Linked DNA regions of Caenorhabditis elegans. The protein of the gene in region 1 purifies or fractionates together with the protein of each later gene. This does not show direct contact. Each region holds a gene or a part of one and is shown on either strand. Other genes may lie near its edges.

Region 1 (7,564 bases):
AGACACGTTGACATCTGAAACAGGCAATTAACATCATTTTTAATTTCAAATTCTTTTTTTATTTTTCGATGGAATAAAGATCCGTTCCAATTCTGTTATTTTATGGTTTTTTTCTTCTTGAATACTCTAGAACTTGTGATTGGGGATTTTTCTTTACGGTTCTTCAAGTACCCAAAATATTTTGAAATTCAGAAATATCAATTTTAAAATTGAAATCTCTTCTCAATTGAATTTTTTCATGTTTGAAATTCCTCCAAAATGACAAGCCACGTCCTCTTTATAACCAATCAGCGTATTCGAACTTTACCAGGGGCGGAGCTAATCATTGATTGATCTTGCAGTTTTCAATTAGGGGGAAGTTCAAATATTATGATCATGTAGAAATGCATTTGTATAAACGGTTACAATATTTTACCTACGATTCCTTAAAAAATACAAAAGCAATGTTATATATCGAAAATTCCCAGGTAACACACATTCACTAAATCGCTCATTTACTTATTTTTCTTTAATTGTTCTGACATAATAGAAGATATCACGAAAGAACCACACATTCATTTAAATCAATACTATTTTATAAAAGAAGAAAAAATACGAGCTGCTGAGGTCGGGATGGCATACACGTAAAAAATATCATTCTACCAGAGGAGAGCTAAAATTCCTTCTATCCTACATTTTAAGCTACAAAAAAAGTTAAAAATCCAGACTTTTTGGGAAACAATCTGGCGAAAAGAGGGGGGGGGGGGGGAATGGTTTGAAAAAAAGAAAAAATTAATTCGCATTGCTCGATCCGTCTAGTCCAAAGAGCATACGAATGTCGGCGGTGGTGAGCTTGTTCAATTTTCGGGTCGCTGTTCCTTCCAACACCGAAGCTGCCAATGCGAGCTTCTTCTCCTGGAGATCCATGACTCGTTGCTCGATGGTCCCCTTCACGATTAATCTGCAAAATTTTGAAATATTTAGTCTAAAAATATGTACATAGTATTTAGACACATAACATGATTTTTAAAAAAAGTACCTATGAATAAAGACTTCCTTCTTCTGTCCCATTCGATAAATTCTGTCACAAGCCTGCTGTTCCAGTGCGGGATTCCAGTGCAAATCAACCATAATCAGATGATTTCCTCCAATCAAATTGAGTCCAACACCTCCGGCAGTCAATGAGAGCAGCATCACCTGAGCTCCGCCTTTTTCCTGGTTGAAACTGTCAACTCGTTCTTGGCGATCTTTGACAAGAACCTGGCCGGTGATTGATGTATAGTTGTGGCCGCCTGCTTGAATATGCTTTTCCACAAGATTCAGCACAGAAGTCCACTGGGAGACAATCACACTGGAAATATTGATTTTTGAACATTTATTGTAGTTTTAAGGATTTTCTCTTCGGGACATATCCAGGTTGCATCATCAAATTGAATAATTTTTAACATTGATTTATTTTCAAAAAAAAAAATTAACTGTTCTGATTACTAGAATGTCAGTGTTTCTATCTTGAAATTTCATAGTATATCCTCAAAAAGAAAAAAAAAGGTACACTTTCTCCTTCTTCTCCAAAATTTCACGAACAACTTCCAGCGTTTTGGCCATCTTGCAGCTAATGAAATCGGGCTCAAAGATTCGCGTGGGTGGTTGTTTTGGCTCCTCCTTATTTGTATCGACGCCTTCCTCATCATTATCACTATCGGCAATCGTCAAATCCGCCATTGTCTTCTCCATAAGATTCTCCAACTCTTTCATATCAGCATCCTCGTCGTCTCCTCCGTTAATCTTGAATGCGTCCAAGTCCATTCCGCTTTTGGTGATATGAAAGTGAACACACGCTTGACGAAGACGCATCAGCAACAACAAAATGCATGACATATTCTGGAAATTCGAGTTTCCCGCCAAGTTCCGTGGCCCGACGTTGTACGGGTTCGCGAATTCATCATCATTTCCTCGTTGTCTGCGTCTACGAATCTGACCGTACTTTTGAATATCATCAGTATTAGTGACGATTTGCTTAACAAGCTTTTGTGCCGCCTCCATCATAATTGCATAGCCATTGGCTTCATCTCCAACCATCTCCAACTCATGGATCTCGATTTTCTTTTCTTTCAAGTTTACAATTTTCTTATTGGTCAGAGCGCACTGCTGATCCTTAGTTCTTCTGAGCATCAAATTTTTCGTCAGCAAATTCACACGATCCGCCATTCCAGTCTTCATTGGCATAATTGATTCGGCCCAGAACTTCCGATCGCCGAACAACGGGATACGCAAAAACCTCACGAGACTGTACAAATCCCATAGGTTATTGTGAATCGGAGTACCCGAGAGACACCAACGCGAGAATGATGAGAGCCGGCACACTGCTTTTGAACATTGGGAGAGACGATTTTTGATGGCATGAGCCTCGTCGAGAATCACACGGGACCAAGCGACACGAGCAAGAGGGGAGTCGTTTTTGCCAGCAGGGCGACGGGGATTTTCTTCGTTCTCTGGAAAAAATTAATGAAATCGCGGAAAATGGGTTCAAATTTCTGATTTATTTAAAAACATTGGCATTTCAAATTATAGAGTTTTTAGAAAAAACATATGCTGAGTTTTCACAAAAGCAAAATCGTTTTTGTAAGCAATCGATTATTGAATTGGAATGAAATTATACTTTCCAGAAAGTTCTTTTTTTAAAAGAAATAATACATTTCCTTGAAATAGATATTTTTCCCGAAAACTCCCACTTTTTTTGAAAAGAAAATAGTTTTTTTGGAACAAATAACTCATTTTCCAGGGAAATCGGATTGTGATCAAAATTCAGCTTGAATTCAGATTTAAAATTCGTACCTGATTCATCGTCGGAATCTTCCTCTTTCTTGGATCCAGCCGCCTTTTTCTCCATAAGCTCATTGGCTGCCAATGTGTACGTGGTGATGACGACATCATATCTTGCAAGCTCCTTTGGCTCAATTTGTCTCTGTTTCTTTGTTCCATGGAACATAAAAACGGAAAGCAAATCTGATTCGAGTCTTCGATTGATTTCAGCTTCCCATTGGTGAATAAGTGAAGCTGGTGCAATGATTAATGTGCCATTTGATGGATACAATCCTTCTTCTTTTGCCACTCTTCTCTTCTCCTTATCCGCGGCATTATCTCCAGACTCTTTCCGTGCTCTTCTCGCTGCCTTCTGATGCACAATCAATGATAACATTGATAAAGTCTTGCCAAGACCCATATCGTCTGCGAGGATCCCACCCGAATGTGGTTGACCCTCACGCCAGACAAGCCAGCGAAGCCCTGCTTTTTGGTGAGGCATTAGCTCGACGAGGAGCCCGTCGGGTGTGTCCGTGAGGTCTGTTTCAGCTGGGATTGTGTGAGTTGCGCTGAAAAAAGAAGAGATAATTTTAGAGAAGACCATTTTCTTACGGAAATTATATTAATTGTTAGATTATAATTTGAAGGAGAAGCACTATGTTGGGTTTTTGTTTCAAATGATGACTGTTAAAATTGAATTAAATATATTTCTACAATTTCAAATAAAAATCTAAAAAATGTCTGACTTGGCCGTTTTTCGACTGATTGGTTTTCCGGTTTTCGTTTTGTAATTAAAATTTCTTATTCGAATAGCTAATTGAAACACAAAAACAACGCAGAAAAACCGAAAATGTTTTTTGAAAACAAGAAAAGTTGTATTTTTAGTTATATTCGGCCAAAATATGGTATTTTCTATCATTAAAATTTCTATGGTCAAGTTTTTCAGCATGGCATCCACACAGCTTTTGGGAACTGTTTTCAAAAAAACTGTAAGAATCAAAAAAATTTGTTTTAAAATATCTGTTTCCAAGCCACGCCAATTTTTGTGAGCGTGGCTTATTAAAGTTTAAAGAACTTTTGGTTCCCTCAGAATCCACAAATACTCTTTTTTTTTCGTAAAATAGAACGAAGCCGTCAACTGAGACTCAATTTTCTAAGAAACTAAAATTTTTACGAACTCGGCGAGCTGTTGCATCAATCGATCGGAAATCTTATTGACTTTGAGAATTTTCTGCTCTGTCATCCGCCCGCTCATCACTTTTCGCCCATTCTTGTCCAACATCGCCGCGAAATCCTGTGGAATTGGAGCAATCAAGTTTTTTGGCTGTGGTGGCGGGGGAATAGCCGTGGTTTTGTCTACCACCATGGTATCCGTCACTCCATTGATAATTCTTCGTTCAATTTCTTCAGTAATTTCATCAACTTGTAGCTTCACACGTGCTCCATTGTCCGGCAAATTCGATGAAAACTTCAAAAGTTTCAACTTTTTATCTTTGTTTGCTTCCAGCTCTTTTATGCTCAACTTTTGGAGCTCTGAAGCAGTATTTTTTGGAGGAGACGGTTGAGGAGAAGCTTCAGGAGAACCTGGATACGGTGTTTGTGGAGAATTTCCAGAACTTGTTTCAACCGAGGGAAGAGTTGAACGGTTTGGCGGCGGAGAGGTATTCTGTAAATTTATATATTTTTTGACAATAAAGCTGAAATTTTGTGAAAATATCGAAAAAGAGGATATAGATAATAATATCAATTTACTATGTCACATACCGAAGCACTAGCCGATTCCGTTGGGCGAAAATTGGTTAAACACGTCAGACGTTGGCTTGAAAACTTGCAAAAAGTGATTTTCTCGCTTGAAAAATCGTTTTCTAGATAATTTCTGGCAAGTAAAATGTGAAATTTTGGATAAATATCGGAAAAAAGTAAAAGGAAATTTTGAATTTTGAGCCAGCTTTAGGTCAATGTTTCCCCATTCTTACCATTGAATCATCCAAATCGGAAGCATGCCGGAACGTCTTCGCAATTGGCGAAAAATGCGAATTTATGAGATCACTGCTTTCAAGACTGCTATTTTCACCAGTTCCCCATCCACTTCGCGATGAGCCACCTGTCAGATCTTGATCCGATTGCTGTTTGATGGATTTTCTGAGGAGCCGCTCACGGAGCTGCTGCTTTGCGCGGGGCTCATCGGATTCCTGTAGCTTCTTGGTGATCGGGGTCACTGGTTTTTCGAAGCTGTTGTCAATGAAGCTTCTCGAACGATAGTGATCGTCTGTGGAGCATTTAGAGCTCCCGTAGGTGGTGGAGGAACCGGTTCTGGAGATGCTCTGCTTGGAGTTTGGAGTTGATGTGTACACGGTTGAAGCCATGGAATTCAGAGAGGCATCAATAATTGTCCTGGGCGGCTCGGAGCTATCAGTTGATCTCATTGAAGCTGTTTCATCGACTTCAGATGAGGAGCTGTGTCTTTCCTGAAATTCAATAATTTTAAAGCAAAATTCAAATGTTAAACTCGAACAAACCTTGCGATCCTCGTCTTCCGACGAGTCTGAGGAATCAATAATGACGTGATTCTTACGAAACGATGCCATCCTGCAATAATTGTCGTGAAATAAAACAGTTCTGGCTTGAAAATATTGGAAAAAAGAACGTGTTAGGAAAATCTTAACGTAAAATACAAAATTGTGCCTTTAAAAGTGTTTTTCTGAAAACCCCACAAAAATTCAAGGAAAACTGCAAAAACATTTCTTCGCGCAAAAATGGAAGTGCAGTGGAGCGCGCTTGCAATAATTCGAGACAACACGGGTTTTCGTAAACCGGGTCTTGGAGACATAGAAACTCGAGAAGAAACGTCTCATTGTGCACTTTCTGAGCACGTTTTATTGAAAATATCATAAAGTAACTTAAAATAAATAACTGTCAAATAATTTCTGCTGATGAAAACACGTGTTGTCGCAATATGTGTCGAAATGAAAATATCAGGAAAAAACCATAACAAAGAGATCTACGAGCAAATTTGTTAGGTAAAATTTTTTTTGAGGTAATATGAATATATCTTTGATCGAGAAGGAAAAAAGCGCATTTTATTTCACGGTATTAATTTCATGTTTTTTCATGTTTTTTCCCCAATTACGCTTTTTCTTCAGATTCCGAATCTAGAATTATGAACTACGGTCACCAAATTGGTTCATTGTCGTGAAGAACCGCGCCGTGTTTGCGTACAACGAAATAATTTTGAATTTTTTCGCAGAATTTCAGTTTCTTTTTTCTTCAATCCGATCTGAGTTATCGCTAAATTTATTTTTTATTCTACTATTTATTTAATGCATGATCACTATAGTTAATTAACTTTAACTTTTATATTAAATACATAAATTTCTCTCATCTCCACCTGTTTTCCTTTTCCATAAGAGAAATTTTCATTAATTTTTTTGTAGGTAGGAGAGCCGAATAGATCAATGATTATACTTCGATCACTGCTCGTTTTGGCTTTAGTGCAAATCACAATATCATACCGGCTAAATGTTCCTCGAGTTTTATTACCGTACCATCCAACGGTCCCAGTTTCATTTGTGCTGGAAGTAACGCATCCAACCGGAGGTTGTTTTACATGGTAACTCAATGAAATGATCTAATTATTTTTTAATATATTTAATTGCAGGAGATCTACTCGTCCCGATATTGTCTCTGTTAAACGTATCGAAACTAACGAAGCTGGATGTTCGGATAAAGCTGAAATTCGATCGGTTGCGAAGCCTGGAACTGTTGGAAGTTCGGAATTGTCTGCTGTTATTTTTGCAGAAGATAAAGGTATAATTTTTGTGAAATGTTGGTTTTAAAATTTTTATTAAGGATCCGGCACAACATTGAGTTGCGGCGTGACAGTAGATGAGATCGCAACTATTAGCATCGAAACAACAACGAAAGTTCTATTCGTGGACGCTGCCCCTGCTCGAATGACTGTTGACGCATTTAACGCCGATGGCGATCGATTCTCTACTCTCAGTGAAATTGCATTGGAATGGGAGCTTGCATCAACATCTTCAAATAAAGCGAAACCACTACGAATTGTTCCATTCGAGCAATCAACATATGAAGCTCCTTCTGAAATTGTTAAACTGGAAAAGAATCGAAAGAAAGGATATCTAATTCTGATTGAAGGTGTTGGAACAGGAACAGCCACATTGACAACCAAGTTCAGTGATGCTTATTTGCAGGTGAGCAATCTGCAAAACTACATTTACCTAGGATGTTTTTTTTTTCAGAAAGTAGCAGCGCACAACGTCGAACTCGCCGTCGTCGCAAATTTACTTTTGGTTCCATCTCAAGATGTTTACTTGCCAGTTCACTCAGTTCTTCCATTCCAAGTTTTAATTGTCAAGCAGCGTGGAACAGAAATAGTGAACATGCCTAATCCGTCATACGAACTTCAAATTGATGGTGGTGATGTGGCGTCGCTCGATAAAAAAAGTTCATCTGTGAGAGCTCTGACGATTGGAAACACTGCAGTACATCTCTTGAGCAGCCGTGAGTTGCATAAATGGATGTTTCTCGTTCAAAAAGAATTTTTCAGATGTCGATGTGCGCGCTAAAGCTGGATTACGTCCACCATCTACTGTCATTCATGTGGTAGACGCCGAATCTGTCCAATGGCATGTTTCAGGAGATAATTGGATGCTAGAAACCGGAAAACAGTATACAATCAACGTTGAACTTCTTGATGAGCACGGAAATGTTATGTTTGTTGCTGATGTAAGTTAAGCTCTGAAAAATTGAACAAAAAACA
Region 2 (3,352 bases), on another chromosome or scaffold:
AGCAAAAGCACAAAAGGTTCAGATTCCGGCAGGTACTTGATTTTTGAATTTTAAAAACGAATTTTGACGATTTTTATTTCAGACTCTACACTCCGAGACGTGCTGAAATTTGTCCGGGACAACCTCGTCACGGATGTTCACCGGATAAATATGTTGCTCAACGATGACGCCAGCGAAGTTGCTCACGGAGTGATTACCCTTATCAATGACACGGATACCGGATTGCTGTTAGAATACGATACGGTTATTGAGGCAGGGGATACGATTACTTTTGTCTCGACGCTTCATGGTGGATGAACTCGGATTTTTGCTAATTGTTTTGTTTTTAAGCTGTTTTTTAAGTTGATAATGAATTTGAAATGTATCACTTCGAAATTAGTTAACAGAGCAGGTATCTTCAACGGACGAAGGTTGCTGAAACTTTCGACGAGCGGAACTTTCAAGGGGACTCATCTTAATCGAAGAAGAAAAAACGCTTCACAGAACGACAGTTTCTAGGCATTTCCAGAAAGATGGAAGAACTTTCGAAACCGAAGACTCCCCCCTGTACCCAAAACAAAAGAAAAACACTTTTTTTCTCATTTTACAGCTTTATTTTTGTCCTGGCAGTATGTAATCTAGAAAGTTGGGGGCAATTTAGTGCTTTCCGGTGGTGGTGGTGCTGGATGGCTTCTGGGTGACAGCGTGTCCAGCAGAAGTGTGGATTGGAAGAGCACGAACGGTGGTGTTGGAGCCGGTCTTTGGAGCATCGATGGTCATCTGTCCTTCCTTGTTGATGACGGTGTGGATGTGAGCCAAGTCGACGTCCTTTGGAAGAGTGAACTGGCGAGTGAACGATCTGAAAATTTTTAATTAATTTTAATTCCAATAAATGAAAAATAAAATAAAACCAACCTCTTGCTGAACCCGTGCTCGGTCTTGACCTCGTGGTGTCCCTCAATGGTGAGAACGTGTCCCTCAAGATTGACCTTCAACTCTTCCGGCTTGAACGCGGCGACGTCGAGCTTGACACAGAACTTCTGGGCGGTGTTCTCGACCTCGTTGAGCTGTTGTGGCACGATGTTGTTGAAGTTGTTGAGCATGCTGTGACGCTGAGCCCAGTATGGCATCATGTCCTCGAAGTCGCGGAAGAGTCCGGTTGGACGGCCAGTGTATGGGCAGAGAGAAGACATAGTTGAGTGAATAGGGTTAAGAATGAGGTGAAAAACGATGAACGTCTGAGGAAAATGGCAAAATCCGCGCCTTTTATACCCAATTTTTGTTTGTTGTTTGTTGTTGTTTACTTGTTTACATTTTTGTTGTTGTTTCGATGATCAGTGAGAGATCAAAATGTAGGTCAAACATTATATTTTACGAGAAATTGCGTATTTTAATAAAAATTATTTATTTTTTATCAGAATTTTGCATTTTTTTTTCTCTAAAATCTTTCTCTGAAAATTAAATTTTTCACACAATTCTGTTTTAAAATTCCGCTTTTCTTTTAAAAAAATGCATTGCACGCAAAATGCGCCAGTGTACACCGTTTGACACGCTTCTCGTCTTCTATTCTACGTGGCCGTAAATCTACACAGATTTTATCAGATAATTTTCCAGGGTTTTAAAAAATATTTTAACGAACAAAATTATGCCGGCGGAGCTGGAAAGCGTTCGAACGCGACAAATAGGTGAGAATTCATGCTTGATATGAATAAAATATAAATAAATCTCCATATTTTCAGTCGCTTTACGGACGATGATCAATTTGAATGAGCCCGTAGTCAATTCTGGAGTCAGAGAACCGGTAGGCCGATTTAAAATACCTGAAAAATCAAATTTATTGTGTGAATTTAGGTATGGAAAGTATTGGTGCTCGACAGAACCGGACAGGATATAATTTCGCCGCTTCTCCCAGTCAAACAGCTCAGAGAACTCGGAGTTACCCTTCATTTGTGCGATTTTAGCTAAAAAACTGCGCAGAAATTCAATTTTTCATATTGCAGATTGATCGGAGCCCGCCGTGAGCCGCTAACCGACGTTCCAGCTGTGTACTTCGTGTCGCCAAACGATGAGAATATTGATTTGATGAGTGAAGATCTCAAAAAAGCCATGTACGACTCGTTCTATTGCAATTTCATCTCCCCGTTGGCTCGTCCTCGTCTCGAATCGCTCGCTTCAGCTGCAGTACACGGGGGAGCAGTTTCACAAGTTCAAAAAGTGCGATAAAGAATTAAAAAATATATTTAATTCAGCATTAACTAGTCGAAAACCTTCTACATTCTTCATAACTTGTGCTGCAAAAACCATTATAAATCTCAAAATTGTGGTTTTTTTTCGGATTTTTTCTTGCAAAAAGTACAGAATTTTGAAAATTATCAACCTTTTTTCTTGATTCTAACAAAGTTTGTCGTAAAAACACTTATAAAATTGAATTTTGCACTAGTTTTTCAGCAAAAATAACTTTTTATTTCAAAAAAAAATTAGATTTTCCGACATTTTCAAAATTTCCAGGTAGTGGATCAATATCTCAACTTCATTTCCCTGGAAGATGATCTCTTTGTGCTCCGTCGTTACAGTGAAAATAGTACATTCTCATATCACGCAATGAATTCACCCGGAACATCCGATGTCGCCGTGAATGCGATGCTTGATTCCATTGCCGACGGACTTTTTGCAGTTTGTGCCACTATGGGAATTGTTCCGATTATTAGATGTCCGAAGGGAAATGCTGCTGAAATGGTGGCAAAAGTACGGTTATTATACTCAAAATGGCTCGAAAGTAGCGGATATTATAACAAAAATTCGGAGAAAATCGCTTGGTTTTCGCTAAAATTTCCAATTATGCCAATTTTTCGGTGCTGTGGCGTCTGGAAATTGATTTTTAATTGATTATTGGCATATTGTGCACGTTTTTTCGTTTATTTGGGTGTATTTAAAACCAATACGAAATTTTACAAAACTAGCAAATTTAGCAGGTTTTCCCAAAATTGTTCATTAAATTTTCTGATAAAAAATTGAAAAAAAAATTGTTTTATCTGAAAATACCTTTTATTTCATTAGGAAAAAAAAAATGAAAAGTGCTCAAAAATTGTCTGAAAGAGCACTCTTCCCATTGTTCCCACTAAAATAAAAGCTAAAGATAAAGCAAATATTTTTCCACAAAAACGCGCCAAGTAGGACAATATTCAATTAAAAAAAATTTCCAGCCGATATGACATCGAAAAATTTAAAAATTAAAGATTTTAGCCAAAAAATGTATTTTTCTGGAAATTTTAAAGAATTTTAGTTAAAAAATTTGATGTTTTAGGGTCATTTTCGGTATGATAAAGCGAATAAAAATTATTTCAGAAACTCGATCAAAAACTGCGTGACAATC

What was found.
Region 2: the proteins of T23H2.3 (region 1) and sip-1 fractionate together in Caenorhabditis elegans (co-fractionation; one large-scale study listed by BioGRID). This does not show direct contact.

Annotation. Positions count from the first base shown.
Region 1 is NC_003279.8:6,441,096-6,448,659, forward strand, and holds T23H2.3 (Transcription termination factor 2), read right to left. Parts: upstream 5,371-7,564; 5' UTR 5,370-5,370; coding exon 5,301-5,369; intron 5,250-5,300; coding exon 4,758-5,249; intron 4,448-4,757; coding exon 3,960-4,447; intron 3,351-3,959; coding exon 2,815-3,350; intron 2,472-2,814; coding exon 1,532-2,471; intron 1,331-1,531; coding exon 1,019-1,330; intron 941-1,018; coding exon 772-940; 3' UTR 549-771; downstream 1-548. Other genes in the region: npp-12 (BIG2 domain-containing protein), read left to right, coding at 6,237-6,391, 6,440-6,588, 6,631-6,995, 7,044-7,305, 7,352-7,530.
Region 2 is NC_003281.10:10,505,536-10,508,887, forward strand, and holds sip-1 (Stress-induced protein 1), read right to left. Parts: upstream 1,267-3,352; 5' UTR 1,173-1,266; coding exon 895-1,172; intron 839-894; coding exon 637-838; 3' UTR 571-636; downstream 1-570. Other genes in the region: urm-1 (Ubiquitin-related modifier 1 homolog), read left to right, coding at 1-32, 83-297; sly-1 (Sec1 family domain-containing protein 1), read left to right, coding at 1,625-1,664, 1,719-1,780, 1,831-1,928, 1,980-2,193, 2,488-2,724, 3,325-3,352.